Rhinolophus ferrumequinum: one gene and its partner. The main gene of each other region encodes a partner of the protein of the gene in region 2 in a complex. Links are inferred from orthologs where the notes say so. Each region holds a gene or a part of one and is shown on either strand. Other genes may lie near its edges.

Region 1 (12,410 bases), on a different chromosome or scaffold from region 2:
AACACTTTGGAAACTGCCTTTCCCAGGACGTGAAGCAGACAGAGTTGCACCCTGGGATAGACTATATTAAGTACCAGCTCTAAAACTTCTTGTCCCGCCATGGTGTGTACCTTTTCGCTCATGACTCCAGAACGAATTCTCCGAAGTTCCTGCATCTGACCGCCAACTCCCAATAATAAACCAAGGTGCACACACAGCGTCCGAATGTAGGTGCCGGCCTCACAACTCACCCAAAAGATTCCTAAGACACACATACACACACACACAAAACTAGTAAATATTTTCCAAAGTAAACACACCACCAATTGAGAAACCCAGACCTGAGCCAGTGAGACTAGAGACGACAGACACAGGCCACAACTGCACCATATACTAAGGGCATGGACTTTTACCAACAGAGCAGTTTCCAAGGAAGCGTTCCTACACCACCACCGCCCCGTCTATGTTAATTCAATTCCTCATAGGCCTAATGACCCACCTAATCTTCTTTCAGGATCGTACTCGATCATTTTGCTCTCGTAGATGGTCCGCACTCGGAGTTGCCTCTTTACTGCAGCAATAAGTGGGGGTCGCTGGAATAAGGCACCTGTCAAAGTTTCTAGGGCCTGAGAATAAGCACAAACCACAATAAAGACTCTCATTGCATGGACTCTCAAATAAGATCAAAGGGCACATTATGGGAGTTTAAGCACACAACTGAAATGCACAGGTTTCTTTCAATCATTTAAGATCTAAAATGCTTTTTGCTTTTCTTCAACCACACAGAGATGGCTCAGTGCTGATCAGAACCCTCTCCTCAGAAGGGACATGGCCGGAAGTGCCCCTGCCATTTGTAGTCACCTGTCCAGGCTGGTTAAGGCAGCCCACTGAAAGGGGCACAAGAGACGCCAGCCAGGAAAGCTGACCTGTCTCCAGATGTCTAGGGGCTCAGAGATCCACACTGCCAAAGGATGCCCTCCCTACAATTACAGACTTACCCTAAAAAGTTGAGTCCCCCCTTCAATAGCATTGTGTAGCCGGACAATTCCCACATACTCTTTGCCTGAAAAAATGACAAAAGAGTAGTCAGGTGCGGCCACTGAGTTTTCTGTATTTTTATATACTCATATCACTCCCATTTTGTGCAGCAGGAAAAGCAGGCAATTTGACCTCCTTAAGATTGCATGGTACAGACATGGGAAAGGAATAAAGACACTTTCTCTCATCAGGGTTCAAGTTTCAGTGTGCTCACAGGGACAGCTGGAGTACCCAGTGTAGAGCCTGCCTGGAAAAAACTTCGCAAGGTCAAGTAGGAGAATATTCCCTGATGAAAATGAGGGAAAGGCACTTCAGGCCGAAGCGGCAGCACAGAGTTCAGGAGCCTGGAGTGATAAACTAAGAGCTGGTCGGACGCAGGTCTACCTCAGTGTGCACACAGCACACAGTACCTGGAACTCCAAGAAAGGCAAACCAGGGTCCGGCAGAGGACAGAAGATGAACAGAAAGCAAGAGTAGCCCTGCTTAGGGTCTTTTTATTATGAAAGAAATAATTTCCAAGAGCCAACACGTAAGTAGAAGGGAAAGGAAATGCACAAAGCCTTCCAGTCTCAAGTTAGCCACCTCTTCCACGTACCTGCACTTTGCTGTGATTTTACCAAGCGAGTGGCTCGTTCTATGCACACGATTAAACAGCCAGTCACCTTAGGGTCTAGAGTACCACTGTGTCCTGTCTTCTCCACCCGAAGTATCCGTCGGATCCAGGCTACCACCTCATGGGAAGAGGGGTTGGAGGGCTTGTCAAGATTAATGAAACCTGTCCTAGAATGGAAAAGAAATTACTGGGCCATCAGCTCCGATCCTCTAATAAAAACTAAATTTGAAGAGTAAAAATTAAGAGTTGACCATGGGTACAGGTTCTATGCGGTTTAGGGCAATGCCATTCTACGATACCACTACCTCCTTGAATAACTGATGTGAACGGGTTATTGTGAACAGAACTCAAGTTTGAACAGTGCTTGATCCAACACTTACCTGATATAATCTCCAATCTCCCTCTTCAGAGGACTTGAACCACAAGGAAGAGGTGTATAGTGTGTCGTCCTTACATTTAGCTTATCAAAGTTCTAGAAAGCAACGATACAACACAAAATAAACTTAATAAGCCATTAATATATGTAAAACCAGAGTTAGCACTACCACCAACCGCGACATGGTTACTGTTACTGTACACAAACTTGGATGTTGCTCCTATATGTTCATTATCTGCTGTGACAGACTAAATCTGCTTACATACTGGAAAATTCACCCGAGTAAGAAAAAGACAAATTTCTTCCTGACCACCTCCCCATGAGAACATCCTCTCCAGAAGAGAAGAGGAACGCAAGAAAAAGCACCTGGGGCAGAACCCCAACTCCCCTTCATGGCTGTGAAATGCCCAGGAGGCTATAAAATCACTGTCCTTAGCCATGTATAAACACTAGTTTTGTGTGCAGGCTGCTCCACTGTCTTCTGTGAGCCTACAGGAGGAAAAGCAAGGCTTACAGAAGGATGCTGCTTCAGAAGGCAGCAGCACTAAAAGCACCCTGAATCAGGATGAGGAACCATCCCAATAAACACATTCTGGATGGATGGATAGATGGATAAATAAATAAGGCAAATCTGATCACTCTTCTATTAGGTTGGTGCAGAAATAACTGCAGTTTAAAAGGTTAAAAACAATTGCAAAAACCACAATTACTTTTGCACCGACCTAATAGAGACTTCTTGGGGTACCACAGAGCAGACTGGGCATCACTGTGCAGTTTTACGAATAAAATATGAACTAGCTTTGATTTTCTCAGGGACAAAAGATAGCCTAATTGAGGACTGGCAACAATATCTCTCAAACATAATTAGCTTGTTACTGCTCCAGAAGCTCCTAGCTCTTTTTTTCTCATGTCTGCTCCTTTTCACTCTCCTCCTTTCTGAGGCTCAACCACTGGTCTGAAGGAGCTCCCCTCAATTGAAGCCCATTTTTCATATCACCCAGTTTCATTTCATCATGGTAGTACCACAAATAGCAATCATTTTTTACACAAAGAGCAGTTATTTTTTAAACTATCACCTACCCACCCCTACATTCTGAGTTCCATGACAATAGGGACTTTGCCTACCAGGTTCATTGACATATTCCCAGGGCCTACAACAGAAAAGCAGATGCTATCTAAATGGAAGATACATCTGGTCAAGCAGAAACTCAACTGTGTTCAATTATATAAGCAAATCTCATTCTTTTGCCATTATATACACGTTTTATTAAAATACTTGGTCAAGGGGTGTTCTCAGTAACTTTGTCTCCCTTAACCTTGTCTCCTAATCTCAGAGCTGGTGCCCATTAAATCATTTGTGAAACCTGTAAATCAAATCATTACTACTCTATTTACAGCCCAACACAACAGTCAATAATTTCTAGAGGACATGTTACACACCAGACACTGGCTAAACACATTTCATGGATCACCTCCCACAGCCCTCAGCTTGTCTTACTAAGAGAAGCTATTATGAGCAAACAGCCTCAAAGAGGTTAAATGATTGGCCCAAGTTCACACACTGCCTGACCCAAATTGGTCTGGCTTCAAAGCCCATGCTTCTCAAGCACTAAAGCAGTCCTACTTCAAGCGTGGCCCACAAATTGGCACGAGTCTGTAAGGTGGCGTTAAGTACAGGGACTGAAGAACTAATTGTTTATAAACTCTGAGAGCAGTTCGATGTCATTTCAACATTTTAAATGTATACTGTGACAGTGTTGGGTGCATTGGAAATAAAAATACTAACTTGGTCCTTCATCTCAGACACTTTGAGGAACACTGCTTTAGACCATATCACCGGGCATTTCCTTAGCAAAGAATGCCAGTATTAAGCACTCACGTGATGTACAATCTTAACCACATACCTTTAGCAACAGGGGCCACTGGGATGTGTCCAGCTGAGCCACTTTGGATTCAGGTTTGATAAGAAATTCTTCAACGTGTTGTATTTCCTTCCATGGGACAGAAACATACCCTATTAGACTTCCCACCTGATTTTGAACAATTCCATTACTACCACAGAAGCCTATGCCGTTTCAATAGAAAACAAGGTAGTCTACGCCTCTTCAGTGAGACCCTCCAAGGGAAAGAGCAGAAATGAGCCAGGATGTCAGAAGGTTAAATTAAGTGCCCCCAAGATGGATACAGCTATTTAAAGAGAAAGAGGGATAGTGGGTCTGCAGGTGGGATAAGAGAGGAAACTGCAGGGAAAGGGGTTGGCGAGACCAAGACCATTTAGGAAACTACCCCATAGGAGACGCTTAGGTTGGCTGGGGTTGTGTAGTTTCTACACAACCACCAAATTTCTTTAAAACCTTTAGAAAAGTTTTCTGTAATTTGTTGTCTAAGTGGTCTTTTTTAGTCAAAACAAAGTAAAACATATTCCTACTCACTGCTACATCTTCTTCTGGTAATGACTTCACCCCTTTTTTCTTCTTATGCTTCTTCGGCAAAATAAGCACTAAAAACACACAAACAAACAAATCCCAATTTGGGAGTTATCCCCGCAAATAAAGGCAACAAAGTTTAAAATAGAGACTGAAACCAGGGCAGGTATTAAATGGATGTTTGGCATAGAATTACTGGGGAAAACAAACTGTGTAAGGCCAAATACGTGGGTTGCACGGCTCAGTAACTGACTGCAAGCAGTCGCACATGTCAGCTTCCGATCGGTTCACCACGTGGCCGTGGCGGGGCTTAAACACGCCGCAGAAGCGCTCGGCCCGCGAGGCCGGAAAGTTCCATAAGTGATCGCTTGACTGTCCGCTCGTGTTTGTGACCTCCTGAACTTTCTTGCCTGTTGGACCTACGCCCACGCTGGAGCCCCTCGGCCCCTTTTCTTCCACGCCCGTTCCAACTACCCTTTCCTCTCCTCATCGTGTGGCGCAGACCGTGGCGTCTGAGCTACCGGCGGCACAGGTACTGCTAGGTCTCCTGCCATCGCAGGGTCCCCCGCACGGCCAACGCCTTTCCATGGCGACCCGGGCCCTAAAGGGGCTGTGCCATCAGCGGAAAGCCCGGGCCTCGCGGCGCCACCTCATCACGAGCGCCTCCCGCTTTTTTGCCCTCACCCGCAGAGCCAAAGCCAAGGAGCAAAGCCGGCAGGAAGCCCGGCGGCGACCGGGCCAATCCAGCGGCTGGAACGAGCAGAGGTCGGGCCCCGACGCCGTCCACCTCCCTGGGCCCTCCGAGCAAGCAGAGCTGGCCCCGGCCGGAGACACCCGGAGACACCCGGCCCTACCAAACGCGAGGAAGCGTCCCCTACCTTCCATGTCCGCCATGTTGCCCACACAGCGTGCGAGCCGCGTGGGCCACCGCCAAGAGAAGGATTACAGACTCCCGCCGCCTTCAGGCCGCGCCGCTAGACCCCGCCCACTTCTGCACCGCCCCGTGCGTGCCGCGACGTGCGGCGGGGTCAGGAGAAAGGGGCCGGATCTGGGGCGCGCGCGGGACGCCTCTACAATCTGGCTGGCTCGGCCCCAGGGATGACGCGCTTGCGCATGCGCGTGCGCTAGTGCTTTGGGCCTGGATCCCTCCCTTGGCAGCCCCGGCTGGGATCCCAAACTTAGCTCCCCTTGGCGGCCCATAGTCTGTGGGCGTGGCCCCGGCCGCTGTTCACTTACCTTTACTGGGTTTAACCCGGGTGTGGACACCTGGCTGAGGACGCTGTTAACTATAGCAAGTTGCTTCCTCACGCCAACCCTTTAAGGTTGTTGTCTGATCAGTCCCGATTGAAATATAAAGACGTTAAGCCACTGTGAGGTTGAAAGCCCTTTGCTGCTTGCAATTGCCATCCAGCTAGAGCAGCGCTGGCCAATAGGAATAAAGTGCGAGCCACTCGTGAATTTTTAAATTTTCCAGCAGCCGCACGGGGAAAAGAAATTTAATAACGAATTTTATTTAACCCTGTGATCCGAAATATCATTTCAACATATAAGCAATACACAACATTACGAATGGGATATTTTACTTTTTTTTTTTTGTACCAAGTCTTTCAGATGTGTTTTACATTTACAGTACACTTCTGTTTGAACTCCACGAACGGGTGTCCCTGGCAAGTGCTCTATAGTCACAGGCCACTAATGTCTGCGGAATTGGACAGCCAGGAAGTAGCAGCTTCTGGTTCAAGCCCTCTTCCCTTCTGTCTTTGCTCTTCTCTCTTCTCGCTCTTCCGTCTCAAGTGTGGACTTGATTGATCCCTAGTTATTCGATTCTTTATTGCGATTCTAAATGGAATCGTTTGTCAATAATCTTTTCTAATGAGTTGCTGCTGAACAAAGAGGACAGGTACTGCTTTTCTTCCATTCCTCCTCCACCATCCAAATAATAGAAATTTTGCACTTTCATTTTACTGTGGCAAAAAAAAAAAAAAAAGACTGATGACTAGTTTTTCCTCATGTAACTTTTCATCTATCGGGAATTTATTTTGGTGTATGCCAAGATAATAATAATAATGATCTAAATTGACTTTTTATAGATAACCAAAGTCCCCAGTATCAACCAATCCATGAGTAGTTCACTACTTGCCCCATTATTTTGTAATACTTCACTGATACATGTTTGGCTGAATAAGTTTGAGGTATTCACTGATGGTTCTATGGGCTTCACCTTTTTCCAACACTCAACAGATCTGTTAGCTAAGCCTGTCAGCTTTGCTTTCAAAAGAGATGCAGAACCTGATTGTTTTTCAACGGTAGTCCATGCCATCCTTATGGTTCTCCTAGATTTTTTTCAGTGGCTTCCTGCAGTTCCCTCTGCTTCTACTCTTTCCAACTATAGTGTCTTCTCAACACAGCAGCTGGAAAGAGCCATTAAACTGTAAGTCAGGCCATGCCTCTGGTCAAAGCCCTTCAGGCCGTGTCTCTCCTCTGCTTCCCTTGTTTAGCGGGGTAAAAAGTGGTCCCCCCAAAAGATATGTCCTAACTTCTAGACCCTATGAATGTGACCTTATTTGGAGAAAGGGTTTTTGTAGATGTAATTAAGTATCTCAAGAGGAAATCGTCCTGGATTACCCAGGTGGACCTAAAATCCCATGACAAGTGTTCTTAGAAAAGAAGGACAAGGACACACAGAAGAGACAAAGACCATGTGAAGATGGAGGAAGAGATTGGAATGGTTTCAGACTTCCAGCCTGCAGAACTGTGAGAAAACAAATTTCTGTTGTTTAAAGCCACCCAGTTTGAGGTAATTTGTTATGGTAGCCCTAGGAAACTAATACACCACACTGCCTCTTGGCTATTCAGGACTACTCCAGGCACATTCTTCTCTGTTCCTTAAGTGTACCTGGCTTATTATTTATCTCTTCACTAGAATATTAGCTTTATGAAGCCAGGAAAGTTTTGTCTATTCTGTTCACCGCTATATATCCAGCTCCTAGAAAATGCTCAGTAAGAATTTGTTGAATGAATCTATGTTTTCTGAACCTAGAAACCCCATGGACCTTCCCTTACCAGCAGAAGCAGCTCCTCCCCCACTGTCTGATGAGGCTGATCCTGCCTTTCTTGGAGATCTTGTAATGAAATCAGCTGGTCAGTTACTGAGCAATGGAATGCCAATTCTCCTTGTGCCCCACCCCTTCCACCCCTCGTTGTCTCCAGTCCCAATTCTCAGGGAGGTTGGAATGTTGGAATGGAATTTTTATGTGCATCCCACTGGCACACCCTCTAATGACATCCCCTGAGAGGGCTCAAAGGACATTCCTTTCACCAAAACACTTGGACAAAATTTGGTAAAGGTTCTGGAAAACTAGTTGGGGAAAGGAGGTGGGAAACATTGCAAGTGGTGGCACTAATTCTCGGAAATAGGATGGGTATCATGATAGGCAGCAGGACTGACAGTTGGAACCAGAATGGTTACTTCCCATGGATCTTTTGGGGTGGTTAACTGATCATGGTGTCCTGTTAGTAGGCTACCTATAGTAGCCCATGGTCTGTATAACCCCTACAACCAACAACAGAATCTCTAGTTCTGGTGAATGGCAGCCTGCCTTGAATCACCACAATGGAAAATCATGGCCCCTCATCTAATTCCGAGACCCAATCAGTCCACAGGCTCAGAGCCCTCAAGTAAAGAGGAAGCCAGATACCCATAACACTACAAGTATATACTGTATTTTAAACCTTCCTCCCACTTTCTCCTGGGGACATAGAATGCCACTGTAGTCCACTAGTCAGAAATGGAGTCTTAATCTATCTCTATTTTGCTGTGGGCACCCCTGTGGCTCTTTCCCCAGTTCCTGATTGCAGAATTGGAATAAACACAATAAGCAGATAGAAGAATTCCCACAGGGGCTTCCTGACTCAAGGACTGAAGACAAGTATACAAAGAAAGGTCAAAAGGAGGCCCCCCCCAGCACTGTCCCTTCAATTCTCTGGTACATTATCATAATTAAGTCCCCAGGGACTGACTTTATCTCACTGTGCCCCAAGACATCATGCTGGTCTGCTTCATTGATGACTTGTTGATTGGGCCTAATGCTAAGAAGTAGCAAATATTTCACCACAGGATGAGAGATAGGTCCCAGGAAAATTCAAGAACCCAACACATCTAGGTATCCAGTAGGCTGAGGCATATTGAGATGGTCCTTCTGAAGAGAGAAGCAATTTGCTATACCTCAAACCTACTGTCACTAAGAAAGAAACACAATGCTTGGTGGGCGTCTTTCTGGACGTGGCATTCCCTGTAAGGATGCTACACAGAGCCTTTCCTATGACTTGATTAGAAAATCATAGCTCGGGCCTCTGGTATTGGGATAAAAATAAAGCTAAGACCTACACACACACACACACGTATATACACACACACACACACCAATTTGCTGGGAAGAAAAGTTCCTGACTTCTTTAGTTCCTGATTGACCATCTAATACAAGTGGTCTTATGAACTGAGCTGCACATCATACACTAGGCATTGTTTGACCAACCAAGTCTTAAAGTCAGGCATGAGTAGCAGCATCCCAGCATCAGCAGTGCAGCTGCTGGGGAAAACAGTCTGGCAGTTCCTCAGAATGTTAAACAGAGTTTCCATATGGCTCAGTGATTCTACTCCTAGGTGTATATACCCCAAAAGATTTGAAAACAGGGACTCAAACATGATGTTGGGGACTTGTACAGGAATGTTCCTAGCAGCATGAGTCACAGTAGCCAAAAAGTAGAAACAACCCAAATCTTCATCTACAGTTGAATGGAGAAACAAAATGTGGTCTATCGATGCAGTGGAATATTACTCAGCCATAAAAAGGAAAAAAGTACTGATACATGCTACAGCATGGAGGAACCTCGAAAACATCATGTTAAATTAAATAAGCCAGAGACACAGGGACAAATATTGTATGATTCCATTCATATGAAATAGCCAGAATAGGCATCCTAGAACAGGCAACAAGCATGTGAGTGAGGAAGCTTCCAGACTATTATAGCCTCCAGCCCTCCAGTCACCCTCGGCTCTTGAGTCATCTCAGCCGAGCCATCAGACATTATGGAGCAGAGAGAAGACATTCCCACTGTATCCTCTTTGAATTCCTCAGCATCATCTATCAATGGAATAACAAACCATCCCAAAACTTGGTATCATTAAACAAATATTTTGTTATGCTGACAGATTGCAGTTGTGCTGAGAATTCAGCTGGCAGACCAGGTTTCACTGGATTGGGGCACCTTCTACACTTGGCCTCTCCATGTGGCTTGGACTTTCTTACAGCATGGCAGCCTCAGAGTTGTCAGACTCTGTACTCGGTGTCTCAGGGTTCCAAAAGCAAGTGTTAGGGCAGAGAAAGCATAAAACTGCATAACCTTTTGTGACTTGGCCTTGGAAGTCTCATAGCATCATTTCTGCTGTATTGTATGGTTGAAGCAGTCAAAAGCCTACCCAGGTTCAAGTGAAAGGGGCATCAACCTCACCTCTCCACGAGGGGTGTCAAAGAACTTTGGAGCCCTGGTTCAAAACTGCCACATTCACCAAGACCTAACTAACTGCTGTGCAGGCCAAACTGGTGAATTAAATGGGGATGTGATAGGAATTTCCTTCCCTGCATTTTTCAAGTCTTTGATAATGAAACTAATTTTTGACATTCTCCCCTAAGTATGTGATATTTCTTTTGACTTATACTTTGGTAGGAAGGTGGAGCTCCAGGGGTTTCCACTTGGGCCTTTCTGCCATGATTCCTTCCTTCCATGGGTCCTGAAATCGATGTGAGGATTCTGCGTTGTTTTTTTTTAATTTTAGCCATTCTGATAAGTATGTACTGGTATCTCATTGTGGTTTTAATATACATTGTCCTAATGGCTAATGATATTGAACATTTTTCCATATGCTTTTTGGCTGCCTCTATATCCTCTTCAGCAAAATGACTCTCCATGTAGTTTATCTATTTTCTAATTAGATTAATAGTGTTTGTTTTTTTTACTAATGAGTTTTGAGAGTTCTTTATATATTTTTGATACGAGTCCTTTGGCAGATATGTGGCTTGCAAACATTTTCTCCCAGCCTGTAGCTTGTCTTTCTACACTTCTAACAAGATATTTTGTAGAGCAAAAGTTTTAATTTTGATGAAGTCCAATTTATCAATTTTTTTCTTTTATGGCTTGTGCTTTTGGTGTCATGTCTAAGAACTCATCACCAGGTCCTAGGTATCAAATATTTTTTTCCTATGTTGTCTTCTATAAGTTTTAGAGTTTTACATTTTACATATACATATATGATCTATTGAGAGTTAATTTTTGTAAAAGATGTGAGGTTTTGGTTAAACTTTTTTTGTTTTTTGTTTTGCCTATGAAAGTTCAATTGCTCTAACACCATTTGTTGAAAGGACTGTGCTTCCTACACTGAAATGCTTTTGTACCTTTTTCAAAACCCAATTTGGCAAATTTATGTGAGTCTATTTCTGCATTCTCTGTTCCATTTCATTTATCTATGTGTCTATTCCTCTACCGATACCACACAGTCTTGATTACTGTAGCTATATAATAAGTCTTGAAATTGTGTAGAGATTTGTATGTTGATCTTATATCCTGCAGCCTTGTAAAACTCATTTATTAGTTATTGGATTTTTTTTTTCTGTAGATTCCTTGGAATTTTCTATGAAGACAATTATGTCATCTGCAAATTGAGACAGTTTTATTTCTTCCTCCCCAATCTGTGTGACTTTTGTTTCTTTTCTTTCCTTTTATTATTATTATTTTTTTTTTTGCATAGTGCACTGGCTAGACATTCCAATACTATGTTGAATAACAGCAGTAAGAGTGGATATCCTTTCCTTGTTCCCAATCTTAGGGGGAAAGTGTCCAGTTTTTCACCATTAAGTATGATGTTAGTCATATGTCTTCTATAGATGTTCCCCCTCTATTCCTAGTTTTATGAGAGTTTTTGTCATGAATTGGTGTTGGGTTTTGTCAAATGCTTGCTCTGCATCAATTGATATAGTTATATGACTTTTCCTCTTTTGCTTGTTAATGTGGTGGATTGCATTGATTGATTTTCATACATTGAATGAGCTTTGCCGCTCTGGGATAAACCTCAACTGGTCATGGTGTATAATTTTTTTTTTTTAATGTATCTATGAATTCTACTCGCTAGTATTTTGCTGAGGATTTTTATGTCTCCATTCATGAGGCATATTGGTCGGTAGTTTTCCTTCTTTCTTTTTACTGTCTTTTTCTGATTTTGGTATCAGAGTAATATCGTCCTCGTAGAATGAATTGAGAAGTGTTTGATTTGGACTTGTGAAAACATTTCATGCTATTTTTTCTCATTAAATTTCCTTTTAATGCGTCTCAAAATTCTGTGACAGATTTTTGGTCAAGTTGTTTCCATTAAAAACTAATAACTTAAAAACTGAAGCACAAAAAAAAAACACACAAAAAAACAAATGGTCTACAAAACATTCTCCTTTCCTTCTGAAAGTTTTACAATGCATTGTAATCATTAACTTGTCTTTCACCATTAAACTTAAATGGCCAATTGAGACAAACTGTTATGAGACCATTCTTCCACTACTGATTAAGACTGGAGTGACAGGTTTTAGGGATAAAAGCTACTCATTTAGCCTTCTGAGCTTTCTGGGCAGACTTGGGGACCTTGCCAGCTCCAGCTGCTTTCCTGATCACTGCTTTGATGACACCCACAGCAACTATCTGTCTCATGCCACAAACAGCAAAACGGCCCAGAGGAGGATGGTCAGAGAAGCTCTCAACACACACGGGCTTGCCAGAAATCATATCAATGATGGCAGAATCACCAGATTTCAAAAACTTCGGGCCATCTTCCAGCTTTTTCCCAGAGCAGCAATCAATCTTTTCCTTCAGCTCAGCAAATTTGCAAGCAATGTGAGCTGTGTGACAATCAAGCACAGGTGCGTATCCAGCACTG
Region 2 (12,863 bases):
TTGACCATATGCCACTTTAGAAGCTCATCCCGAGGCCCGTGCCCGTGACAGCGTCTGGTCCTTTGTGTCTGCTGGACTCTCGTCCGGACACTCCGGGCCCTGCTCTTTGTTGTAGTTTTGCCTCCGGCTGTGTGGCGCTGCCTGTGCTGATGAACATCAAAGCTGTGATTGAGCAGAGACAGTGCACAGGGGTCTGGAGTCATAAGGACGAGTTACCGGTGAGCCCTGGGGGGAGGTGTGGGCAGAAGGTGCGGAGGAGGACAGCCACAGCAGGAAGTGGGACTCCCCCCTCGCTGGCCTCCCCAGATTGAGATCGAACTAGGCATGAAGTGCTGGTACCACTCGGTGTTCGCCTGCCCCATCCTCCGCCAGCAGACCTCTGATTCCAACCCCCCCGTCAAGCTCATCTGTGGCCACGTTATCTCCCGAGACGCACTCAGCAAGCTCGTTAATGGAGGAAAGTAAGTTCCCCGTGCTCGGCTGCTGCTTGGCTTAGCTCTCCTGCTGGCCACTGCCTGAGACGTACTTGTTTCTCGTCCCTTTGCAGGCTGAAGTGTCCCTACTGTCCCATGGAGCAGAACCCAGCAGATGGGAAACGCATCATATTCTGACTCCGGCCTGGAAGGAACTTTGTTTTCCAGGGGTTTTCACCCATGAGCCTTGCTGTCTCACAGAGGTGTTTGTGCTAAATGGATTGTGGTTCTCTGCAGAGCATTGGTTGTGTGCTACCACGGGCAGGGGCCAAGGAGGTTGATGAACCAACCTGCACCGGGCAGCCAGCTCCTTGGCTGTGAGGGTGAGATGCTGGCCTCTGCAATCCTGCTGTCTCCGTTTATATTTGTCACTGACTTGGCAGCAGCAGACGTCTTCCATCCCTGCCCTCAGCCAGTTCCTACTGCCACGCAGTGCCGTGCCCACTCCTCTCACTGTACAGCCTCACAACTGTATGTATCCATCGCCCACTGTAAATAGTCTGGGTTAGAACTGAATGCTATTGTTTTATAGCTTTCAGCAAGTACATTCACAGGCCTTCTTCCTTGCCTGCCTTTAGCTTCACTGACAAAGAATTACTACCTATCCACTGCACATAGGTAATGGCTTGGCGCCTGTTGCTGGGAGAACGTGGCAGCCAGTGCCCAGTCAGGCAGAACCCAACCTACGTCTCTGGTTGGGTGAAAAAGCTGGGAGATGTCAGTCTCTGGGCAGGGTGCTTTTATATATACATACATAAAATATCATTTCCCGCATATTAGAAATCATTGCAGGGCGGTTGGGAAGATGAAATGACTTGCCCAACAGGGCTCACAGCTTATAAAGGAGAGAGATTGGGGTTTAAAGCAGATCTGACCCTCAGGCCCAAGCTTTTTCCAGTTTATTCCAGGGTGCTTAAAGGCTGGTTGCTGTGTGTACGGAGTCCTGTGCTGGGCCTTTGAGAGCAGGAGGGTACCTTTAGTCTAAAATGTGTGGAGGGTCTGGGTTATCAGGGCCATTATACCAAGCAGAAGAGATGGCCTGGGATTTTGAGTTTAGCTTCATATTCCTATTTAAAATGCCCTGTGTGGGTGGGTAAATTGCTTTTATAAGCTTCTCAGTGGCATTTAAGGCTCATGGGGGAAGAAGAGGAATTGGGGTGTCCTCATAGGGGCTGCAGGCTTCTGCTCAGTGGGGTCTGGGCTCAGCTGCCTTATCCTGCAGCTCCCACCTACTCTGGAAGTGGGAGGTAAAAGCTCAGGGTGGGCAGCAAATAGTCCGTTCTCAGCTTGAGTCTAACACCAGCCTGGTGGCTGGGCACTGGCACTGAACACTCTGTGAGAAAGGCTGCTTCACTCTTTCCTGCCCACCAACTCCTTGGCCCCACCAGCAGCTGCTGCTTGAAAGAACACCCACAGACGCATCACATTTTAGTGTGAGCATTTACTTCCCCCACACCTCGTCTCTGGAAATGAATGCCAGGAAATTCATCAGGAAACAGCACTATGGAGAAGATGATGGCTTTGCCTTCACAAAATAACTGTTGGAGCTTCCTGGGAAAAAACATGTGCTCAAGGGGCTGGGGAGATGCTGAGTGGGCAGCAGGAGGGTAGCCAGCCAGCTCGCCGCCAGACCAGCAGCTTCTGGAGCAGGTGCCCAGGTTGCCGCCCAGGTCCGTCACACCGATTGGGGCAGGGCATGCACCTCCTGCAGGCACTCCTCATAGGCCTCCTGGTACTCCTCGTGCGGCTTGACCATTATCACGCAGGTGGGGCGCTTGGAGCCTGCGGCTGCACCCAGGTCCTGCAAAAGACAGAAGGGCTGTTTGCCAGGAAGTCACAAACCCACCAGTCTAATCTGGCTCACAGATGTGTGCTATTTGGTCATCATTATATTTAAAAACATTTCAAATTGGTTGCCATCAATTAAACTCAGCAAACTTTCAAGTGGTCCAGCAACACTGGGTTTACATTCCCGTGTGGCAGCTGTGAAAAGGCTCTAGCCCAGCAGGGGCTGTCCCCTTCGGCAAGGCCTATGCTTTCCAGGTTCCTGCCATCCCCCCAGTCCCTGTGCTCTAGACCTGGCTCCTGATGTGTGAGGTTCCCAGAACACCCCCTCTGAGCACTGCACCCACCTAACAGGACTAGCATGGCCACAGCCAAGAAGCCGCCCAGGCCCGTCTTAGCTCTAGAGCCTGTACTCTTTCCCACTGGCCTGCTGCCGCAGCTCCTATCCCAGCCCCCTCCAGTGGGGATTAAGGTCAGGCTCATGGGCTCCTTACCGTCTTTGAAGGGATATAGATGTAGGGCAAATTCCGGTCCTCACACATAACTGGGAGATGGCAGTATACCTCAACGGGCAACGTGTCTCCTGCCAAAACCATGATCCTGAAACGGGAGAAACACTGTCATTTCTAGCTTGCTCATTCCCTCTTCAGTCAAAAGTACCACCTGTGGACTGGGCCTTGGGGGGTACAGACATGGGTAAGATGGCCCCTGCCCTCAAGGAGCCCAGTTATTAACGTGGGTCACCCAACCTCTGAAAGTGCGTGCAAATTTGTATTTGGTGACTGTGTTCCTCTGGAGAGATGATCTCTATTTTCTTTTTTATATTTTATTTATTTATTTATTTATTTTTGGAGGAGAAATAATATTTATTTTATTATTATCTATTTTCTTTTTATTTTGTTATTGTGTAGCAAAGGATGAAAAGGGAGAAGACCTAAGGTTAGAGCCACAGAGAGAAAGGCACAATGTTGAATAAGATGTCACAGAACAGTCTCTGTCCCATTAAGTGAAAGTGCCACTGGCACAGCCCCAGGGCAAGTATGCAATCAAGGGTTTTCTTTCAGCATCAGCTACCAAATCCTGGCCCCATTGCCTGGGAGAGGACCTGTGAAAGTGCTAAAAGAAGAATCAGGAGGCCACACTTGAACAGAAAGCTGAATGATGATGAATGTCTGCCAGGCAGCCCTGTGGGTGGGGGTGGGGGTGGGAGTGCAGGGGGCAGAGAAAGCATTTAAGGAGAATCAGAATGGCACCAGACACACAGAGGCTGGCTGATGGCAGCCTGGGATGGCTCTGGAATCCAGGATGGAGACGGGCAGACGAGGCTAGAGAGATTGGCAGGGACCACACACAAAGGCCTTGAGTGCCAGGCTAAGAAGCATGCACTGAGTCCCCAAATTGACAGGGCTTGCCAGATTCCTCAGCTAGGGCTTCTAGCTGGCAAGGTGTTGGCACTCTGGGGCAAGGGCCTCCAGAGCCCTGAAGACAGAAGGCAGAGTCTGTTCTCCAGGGGTGAGATGCAAGCACCACAAACACCAGGAAAGAGCTCTTGGTTCAAACTACTGGGTCTACACTCTCCTAGTTTGCCTTTTGCCTTGTGGGCTCTCCTCTGCAGGCTCCTCTGAGTAGCCTGGTGCTCCTCACACCTGGTCCTTGGCTGCCCTCTCAGTACCTTCTGACCTCATCTGTGGCCGTGGCATCAAGTGCCATCTATGTGCCGACAACTCCCAAATCTATTCTCTCCATCCTGGCCCTCTTCTAAGCTTGCAGCCCATATAACCACCTGACTGTTTGACAGTTTTGCTGGGGAGAGGGGTCACAAGTCTAAGAGGGACCTTGAAAACTTGCCTAAAACCAAACGCGATCTTCCTACACAAAGCCCGTCCCCTCCACTGCTCACTGTTTCAATGAGTGGGCCCTCTGTCTGTTCAGCTAGAACCCATACCTCCTCACTCCATGTCTGAAAATCCTCTCAGATCCATCCACTTTAGTTCTCTCCATCTTCACCATACCCAACCTAATCAAAATCATCCTTCACCTCCTCTAGACTACAGTAACCTCCTATTTCAATTTCCCCATATACTCTTGCACCTTTGATCCTTTCCAAAGTTGCCAGAAAAATCTTCTTAAGTTATAAACATAATTATGTCACTTCCTGGCTTTAACCCTCATTGTTGCCCCAAAGTTCTGAGTACAAAAACTTACGGCTTACAAAGCTCCATGAAAAGGTGGCACTCTGTCCACCCCTCCCCTCTCCTGCCCTGGGACCTATTCTGGCAGAACCCTTCCCCCCGGCACTAATCCCATATATTCAGATCTCAGCTACCCCCACCTATGTCAGGCTCCATTGAGCATCAAGTCCCCCCAGCAATATTTATTTATTGAGCACCTACAAGGTACCAGACACTTCTGGGGATATAGCAGGGAGAGGCTTTATCCTCTTCTCTCAAAGAGCCTATTGTCTGGCCTGACTGGGAGATGGAATAAGAATACAAATGAGTTTCAGATTCTGATAAATGCCAGAAAAGATGTAGGGTAAGGAAATCATTCTCACAAAAGCACTTTTTCTTCATAGTTAACCTATTACAATTTTTTACTTTGATTAAAATCATAGTGTCTGAAAGAGTAGAAACTCAATAAACAGTCGCTGAATGAAGAATGAAGCCGGGTCTACCCGAAGAGTTCGCTTATCCTATTCGCTTCCCCGGAATTCACTTTCCCCGCGGTGTCCCTTTGGGCTGGGTAAGTTAGGTGATGTATAGGTTAGCTGTGTTGAAGAGAATTTACTGACTGCTTGATTATCTTCTAATAGAGTCAGAGCACTTACCCCGATTTTCACCGAGCACCTACTAAATAGTAGGGATACCTTCATTACCGCTTGGAAATGCAAAATCAAGCGGGAGGGGGTTCTTACCCTTTCTCGCCTTTGTTGACAAATTTCTGAACCTCCTTCACCCCGCGCCGAATCTGCTTCTGTTTGACGGCTGCAATGACAGAAGAGTCAGTCCGCGGGCCTCGGCCCGCCACCCGCGCCCCCACGCGCCACCGCGCCGCCCGCCGTACCTTTCTTGATGCATTTGTAGAGCTTCCGCGTGAGGCGGCGAGAAGCCAGGGGCTGCGCGATGGGGTTCAGATTCACCAGCAGCTCGTGGTAAGTACGATCCCCGGAGGACGCCTCCGGCTGAGCCTCCTGCTCATCTGGATCTCGCTTTATTTTGGTCATCGCAGCGGTCGCGGCTACCGACTCCCCAGTAAGCGATGCACGCGGCCCAAGTCTTAGAAATCACTTCCCGGTCACCAGCTCTGGGGAAGCGTGTCAAACAGCACAACCAATTAGGAAGTGAGGGCTCGGACTCAGACCAATTGTTCCTGCTCAGCTTAGGGGCGGGGCTCGGGCTGTCATCCGCGGGCCCCGAAGGAACCGGAGACGTGGGCGGGGCCTGGAGGGAGGTGGGTCCTGGAGGGAGGCGGGATGCTGGGGAGGGACCCGGGCACCAGCTGGGGCTAGTCGGAGTTTGGCGTCACCTGTACGCTCTGGGAGCGGGAGGAGGCGGCGGTACCTGCGGGGCGTGACCACGTCTAAAGGGACAAATCGCTGCGTCTGCGAGCTGGGTGGGAGAATGCGAGGTCCGCCCAGTGCGATTCCAAACCGCGGTAGAATCTGCCCCCTTAGATGGGCAGTGCGCAACCTGAGCTGGTCCTGGTTGGTGTACCCCAGGTGCCAAGGTTCAGGTAAAGCCTGACACTGCTAATCGTTTCCTGCTTTCTTGCACCATTTCTCACACTCTGCTTTCACTTTCCTGCCGAGGGATGGATGGCCACTCAGGGAGCGCCTCGGTCTGGGCCGCTTTTCCCCAGGGAGCCCGAAGATCTCTCCCTCTTCCCGCAGGGATCTGCTCAAATGTTACTCATGGGAGGGGGTCCCTGATGACCACCTTATCTAAAATTGCAGTCCCCGCCGACTTCCCTCCCCCACCCCCTAACCTTTTTCCTCGTGGTTCCCACCGCTGCCTGGCCTCATAACACCGAGGGCATAGTGGTGACAGCTAGCGGGGTGAGGAGGAAAACTGCGTGGACACTGGGAACCGCACTCCGGAGTGGCGTGGGGACAGCTCTGAGTAGGCCCCCATTTTGCAGTTATTGTAGAAGATTAGTGGACAGTGACGCTGGGGAGGAGAGTAGGCCTAGACTGGGGTGGCTCTTGGTATCTCCAACATATTTCTTCCACTGTGTCTAGGAACACTGGCTGGATATTAATTAGATAATTGCTACAAATTAATTGCCTTTGATTATTCAGTGGAAGGCCTGCCATTTCTGTGATGGTGGAACAGCCAGAAAGTGGAACTTCAGAAGTCTGCAAGGTGGCCGTGGGATCACAGGTCAGTTAAGCCAACTTAAAATTTTACCTTTTAACCCTGCAAGCAGTCATTAAATAAACTACTAATAGGTTTTTAAATTTGGTATTTTAATAAGAAAAATCAGGATGCGATTCATCCTAACCTTAGACCCCAACTAATTTCACAAATATAAACACATATCAATTGAACAATGAAAATATGGTATATAAACAATAAAAAATAATTTGAAAGTAAAGTTTGTATGCACAATGTAACCAAAAATTGATCTTTTACATGTTTTCACTTTGGAACTTCTTGAGAAAAGATAGCTCTTCCTACGCTTTAGGACCAGCTTTAGGACTGGGGGTTGTGGTCCGCTTTGTCTGACTGCCCACCCCAAGCCCTCCCCGACTTGTCCCTGCTCCTGGGCCCTGCAGTGGCAGTCCTGGCCCTCCCTGGGAAGCCAAGTGCCTCTGAGCACACAGCTGGCAGGATTCTGCCTCAGGGCGCTTTTCTGTGTTCTCTCTCTGAGTGGTATTCCTGTCAACGTTTTCAGCATTGTGGGACAGATGACAGGTGCCAGGGTCACCGAGGGAAGAAGTGCTGCTAGATGGGTTTATGGGGCACAATGAACTCTGTCCAGAGGAGAATTTCTTCCCCAGAAAACCCAACTCAAGCAATGTGCTTGACTGACCTCACCAAGGCCTCGGTTATAAAGGCCTCTCAGTTCTTATACGGAAGGAGGAAGGAATAACATTTATGTGCCAAGCATATCATATGTAATACTATCTCACCCAGTGCCCACAAGTGCCCACAAGGAATACCTTATTTATTTCCTGAGGCTTATAAAGGTGAATAGCTCTGTCTAGCTCACACAAAGCTGGATTTGAACCCAGGTCTGCTTGTCTCCAAGCCTGTGCTTTGCTCAGGCTCTGTGACTTGACATTCGATATTAGCTCAAAGGTCATGAAACATGGCTGGATAGTGAAAGTGTGGGAACCTTGGCCTGACTAGGTCACAAGTGTCAGCTTTTTGAGCGATAACACAAGGTAGTGCCAAGAACAAATATGTCCTCAGTAAGCTACACCGTCTATTCCTAACACCAGTCTCATAGACGTGTGTCAGATTCATGGTGATTTATGTGACTTTACTGATTGTGTTCATATGGCCACTGGAGCTCACCTGAAACATTGTAGAGTGGGTGAGGACATAATGACCAATAGGCAGTAGACCAGGGATCTAAATGACAAAAGGCTTTGGGCAAGCCATTCAACTCAGTGGGCTTCAGTGCCTAGTCTCTAAAGTGAGAAAGTTAGACCTAGATGGACTAAGGTCTCATCTTTTAAAAAATTTAGGAGGATGATTTTTTTTAAATTGAGCTATAATTCACATACCATACAATTCACCCACTTAAAGTGTACAATTTAGTGGTTTCAGGGTATTCACTGTCACCACAATCAATTTTAGGACATTTGCATCACATCAAAAAGAACCCCTACACCCTTTGGTTATCACCCTCTGACCCCCTCATCCTCCCTAGGCCTAAGAAACCATTACTCTACTTTCTGTCTCTGTAGATATCCGTGTTCTGGACACGTCATAGAAATGCAATCACACACTGTGTGGCCTTTTCTGTCTGGCTTCTCTCACTCAGCATAATGTTTTGGAGGTTCCCATGTGTCGTAGCCTGAATCAGTGCTTCATTATTATATAACAGTCCAAAACCCCGTTTCATCCACTCATCTGCTGATGGTCACTTGGGTTGTTTCCACCTTTTGGCGGTGTGAACAGTGCTGCTGTGAACATTCATGTACACACTTTTGTGTGGGCACGTTTTCCATACATACCCAGAAGAACGGCTTTGGCAAATGGTAACTCCATGTTTACCTTTTTGGGGACCTGCCAAGCTGTTTTTCCAAAGTGTGGCTGCACCATTTTACACTTCCACCAGCAGTGTACAAGGGTTCCAGTTCTCCACATTCTCACCCACACTTGCTGCGATCTGACTTTTTCATTACTGTATAGCAATCCTAGTGGGTGCAAAGTAGTATGTCATTGTGGTTTTGATTTGCATTTCCCTGATAGCTAATGATGCTGAACAACTTTTCATGTGCTTACTGGATGTTTGCATGGTACTGGAAAAATACCTATTCAAATCCTTTGCCCATTTTTTAGTTGAGGACGAGTATTCTGACTTTTTACTTATCAATAAGCTATTAATAGATGCTTACTCTAGGAGCTGAAGTTCAGGTAAGTAGAAGAAAAAATAAAATTATATATAGTTTATGCAATTTATTGGAAATCTATTTTAATTCTTTTGTAGGCCAGTTATGTCAGTATTAGTCAAGATGATGGATGGAAACCTACATGCCCCCCTGGTTTCCTTAGTGGCAATTGGCGTCTTCCCAGAAATGAGACCTGAGTTTTGGGCCAGATTCTAAGGCGAGAGGGACCATCAAGTGGGATTCTGGAAGATGGAAACTTCCTCAAGCACAGCTGCGAATAGTCAGGGTGGCACTTCAGAAAAATGGGCTTCTTTAGGGTCACTGTTTTGGCTTTGGATCTTAAAATGTATTATATAAAAAGTGACAATGTTTATGTTAAGAAAATTTCAGGTAGTATATAACAGTATAAAGCAAAAAGTTAAACATCCTCCTTAAGCGCTATTGCTCCCATTTAAGCTCTCCAGAGGTATTCACTATTAGGTTTTTTTGTGTACATGTGCAAGTATATATATATTTATTTGTTTACATAAATTAAATAGTATAACATATTGTTCTGGCAATTTATGTCCACTTAATATATTTTGGGAAAATTTTGTTTCCACCATAGAGATAAATCTTTCAATGCCTCCATCGTATCGCATCATGTGGATTTCTGCAATTTATTTAGCTGCCCTACTATGGACGTTAGTGTGTTTTTACTATTTTGGATAAGTTTGCAATGAATATTATGCAGTCTCTTTGTTACTTTTGTGAGTGTATCCAGGGATAAATTCCTAACGTTATAATTTTGGTATATGCAGTATTGTCCAATTGTCCTCTAAAAAGGTACGACTTACAGTTACCATAATAATATCTCTCCATGGCCTGCCAAGACTGGGTTTTAGCAACCCTTTTTTTTTACTGGGAGGAGGAGTGGTGATGATCCAATAGGGAGAAATGATGTCTTGTTTTAATTTACATTTCTTTAGTTTGGAGGGAAGCTGGGTATTTCGTATTTTTACAGGTCATTTGTGTTTCTTTTTTCTGTTAACTCCCGTTTTATTCTTGTATAGTATTTCTATAGGGTGTCTCTTACCGCTTTAGAAAAGCTTTTTGTATTTGAAGGAAATTTTTGTAGTGCTTGTGTGGTTTCACTGTTTATATAAAACATTTTTGATCCATCAGGTTTAATGTGAGTGTTAGGAGAAAGGCAGGTCTGCAGGGCTCAAAACCGTGAGCTCGAATCCAGATGGCTAGCCATTGTCCTGCTGCCATTTATTGAATTCTTTCTCTTTTTATCCATTCATTTAAAATGCCTCTGTGTGTACTAGATTCTAATATGTGTTTGGGTCCATTTCCAGCCTCTCTATTCTTTCTTTAGTATTAAATTGTTTTGATGGATGTAGTGCTTGGTTTGTCAAATTTGGTTGTTTTTTTTGTTTGTTTGTTTGTTTTTTACTTTTTAATATCTAATAGGGCTTTGGCAGTTTACCAATTTAAACCAAGTCTAGGGAAAGCATGCTGTGTGGACAGAGGAAGGGAGTCAAACAGACCAGCATTTGATTCCAGATTCCCAGTTTGTTCGCTTTATAGCGTTGGACACATTGTTCCACTTCACCGGCGCTTTGGTTTTACTGTGCTTCTGTTTTTTTCACCTTCCAAATGGGATGACAATTGAATGAGATGCTGCTTCCTGGAAAGGCCCTGCGTGGCGGCATGAGCTGGTTGTGGAGGTTCCTCGTTGAGCCACAGGGCATCACCCTGGGCGTTAGAGGGTCAGGGTGAGGACTCTACAAGACCAAGGGGACATGTCCCTGTCCTCCCCAGTCCTCCAGGTGCAGGAATTCCCTGTCCAGCCAGCACTGAGGCCATTACCAGGGCCGGCCCAGCCTTCTCTCCCATCTGCTCTTCAGAGGGAGAGCTGTCCCTGGAGGTCTGAAGGGAGGCCAAGGTGTGGGTGGGTGGGTCGTGGACAGAGCATGGACGTTTGGCTTGGGGCATCCACACATGTGCATGTGGGTCCCTCACTGTACAGAACAGAATGGGGCAGGTAGAAATAGAAGGGGGAGGTCAGGGGCTCCATCTGTGCTCTTGCCCTGAACCCCTCCAATGTGAGGGGCGGGCCTGCTTCCCTTCTCCTTTCTCTCATGATGATAGATTCATGAGAGTGGGCAGGTGTATTCAATTGTTCAACAATCAGTTATGGGGACCGACTGGTGGCAGTAGTTTCCTAGGGCTGTCCTAATAAAGTCCCGTAAATTAGGGGGCTTAAAACAACACAAATTTATTGTCTCCAATTCTGGAGGCTAGAAGTCCAAAATAAAGGTGTCAGCAGGGCTGTGCTTCCCCTGCAGGCACCAGGAGAGAATCTGGTCCATGCCTTTCTCTTGGCTTCTGGTGTGGCCAGCAATCCCTTGTGCTCCTTGGCTTGTAGACACATCAGTCCGTGCCCCCATTGCCACATGACTTTCTTTCTGTCTTCACATGACGTTCTTTCCTCTTCTTATAAGGACACCAGTCATATTGGATTAGGACCCACCCTAATGACCTCATCTTAACATGATACATCTGTAAGGACCCTATTTCCAAATATGGTCACATCACAGGTACCAGGAGTGAGGACATGAACAGATCTTCTTAGGGGATCCATAACCCTGGGAACTCTGAGGGCATGAGCTGGAACTCCCTGTGTGACTATGGGATCAGGTGACGCTGAGCCAGTCCTGTGGGCCATCTGGACAGGTATGGGTAGTGATAGGTCAGAGGGCTGGACCTGGAGGGCCTTGTGTCCTGCCACTGGGCAGTTTTTAACGTTGGGCATCAGTGCTGACTCTCCCTTCCCCTTGCCCAGCCAGTGACTTGGAGTGGGCAGCTGCATATGGCTCCGATTTCTGGTGGAGATAAAATTAGAAGGGAGGACTGGACTTTTAGAAGTCCCATGGACCCCAGGGACTGCCTAACCCAGACACTTAACAGATGGGAGGCTGAGGCAGTGCCATGAGGCGCTCTGTGTTCTGGTTGGGTACTTTGTGTGGAAGCTGTGGGCCGTGGGCCGTGGGCTGTGGGCTGTGGCTCCAGTTACCGGGGGGTGGGGGAGGCGATGGCCACTGAGTCTGTCATCAGCCCCAGTCCCCAATGAAAGCCTGGGGTAGACTCTCCTTCAGGCCACCAACTCCTACCGAAAATGCAGTTTTCCCAGATGGGTGTTTTGTCTGGGGCTGCCTGGAGGAGGGGGCGGTGGGTACCTGTGCCATTGCTGTTTCAATTCAGACTCTTGCGCCCATGGTCCTGGGGCCTGTGGGGGCCTGCTCGCCTCTGCAGCCCCCTGCGACCTCTCCTGGGTTGCTGCCACCTGCTTCATCTGTTACCCTCTGTCACTGGCTTTCATCTGTCACTGGCTTTGCATGCTCTCAAAACTCAGGAAGTTTCTCCTCTGTTGAAGACTCTCTCCTGTTTTCTTAAGGTTTGGTAAAGGTTGGTGAGGTGTTGGGGTGTGTGTGTGTGTGTGTGTGTGTGTGTGTGTGTGTGTGTTCGCAAAACCTGCCCCCTCTCTAGGGCACCATGCTGCCTCCCACTGTTTAATGGATCCTTGAGTAAATGCTTGATGGGCACATTTTCTGTTCCTGTGCCCAGAAAATCTCTTCCTTGTTCCTAGGCCTCCTGGAATTGACAGTGGTAGGCCTGCCAGACTTCATGCCATAGAGCTAGCTCCGTTCCTTACATAGCTGGTCCCCAGGCAGCAACATTCTGGCGTGCCAGCCACAATTTACAGCTAAGGCCAGGGCAGAGGGTGCCAGCGTGGTGCTCATGGGCTTGAACTCTGGGTGGCCAGAGTTTTTCTGCCAGCAGTGTCTGTGGAGTAGGCAAACTGTCAGTAGAGAGAATGCTGAGGAGGTTTGGGTCTCCACAGTCACCTACTGGACTTGCCATTCATTCCAAAAATGGACTGAGCATCTGGAATGTGTCAAACACTGTGCTAGGCATTGGGGGGGGGCAGTGGTGAACTAGAGAAAGGCCTGGCCTCCCCAGAGGCTTCATATGAACTCTGGTGCTGCTTTCCATGT

The links.
Region 1: NHP2 (region 2) and DKC1 share a complex: the UniProt entries of both Homo sapiens proteins name them as parts of the H/ACA small nucleolar ribonucleoprotein (H/ACA snoRNP) complex. The link is inferred for Rhinolophus ferrumequinum from reciprocal best matches to the Homo sapiens genes NHP2 and DKC1.

The regions. Positions count from the first base shown.
Region 1 is NC_046284.1:5,795,526-5,807,935, forward strand, and holds the start of DKC1 (H/ACA ribonucleoprotein complex subunit DKC1), read right to left. Parts: upstream 5,493-12,410; 5' UTR 5,327-5,492; coding exon 5,311-5,326; intron 4,507-5,310; coding exon 4,439-4,506; intron 3,998-4,438; coding exon 3,911-3,997; intron 2,555-3,910; exon of another isoform or gene 2,399-2,554; intron 2,103-2,398; coding exon 2,011-2,102; intron 1,798-2,010; coding exon 1,613-1,797; intron 1,043-1,612; coding exon 978-1,042; intron 606-977; coding exon 479-605; intron 242-478; coding exon 111-241; intron 13-110; exon of another isoform or gene 1-12.
Region 2 is NC_046307.1:4,927,722-4,940,584, reverse strand, and holds NHP2 (H/ACA ribonucleoprotein complex subunit 2), read right to left. Parts: upstream 5,573-12,863; 5' UTR 5,482-5,572; coding exon 5,322-5,481; intron 5,243-5,321; coding exon 5,173-5,242; intron 3,379-5,172; exon of another isoform or gene 3,251-3,378; intron 2,859-3,250; coding exon 2,753-2,858; intron 2,275-2,752; coding exon 2,149-2,274; 3' UTR 1,900-2,148; downstream 1-1,899. Other genes in the region: E3 ubiquitin-protein transferase RMND5B, read left to right, coding at 116-218, 307-461, 548-611. UniProt on the Homo sapiens protein: Required for ribosome biogenesis and telomere maintenance. Part of the H/ACA small nucleolar ribonucleoprotein (H/ACA snoRNP) complex, which catalyzes pseudouridylation of rRNA.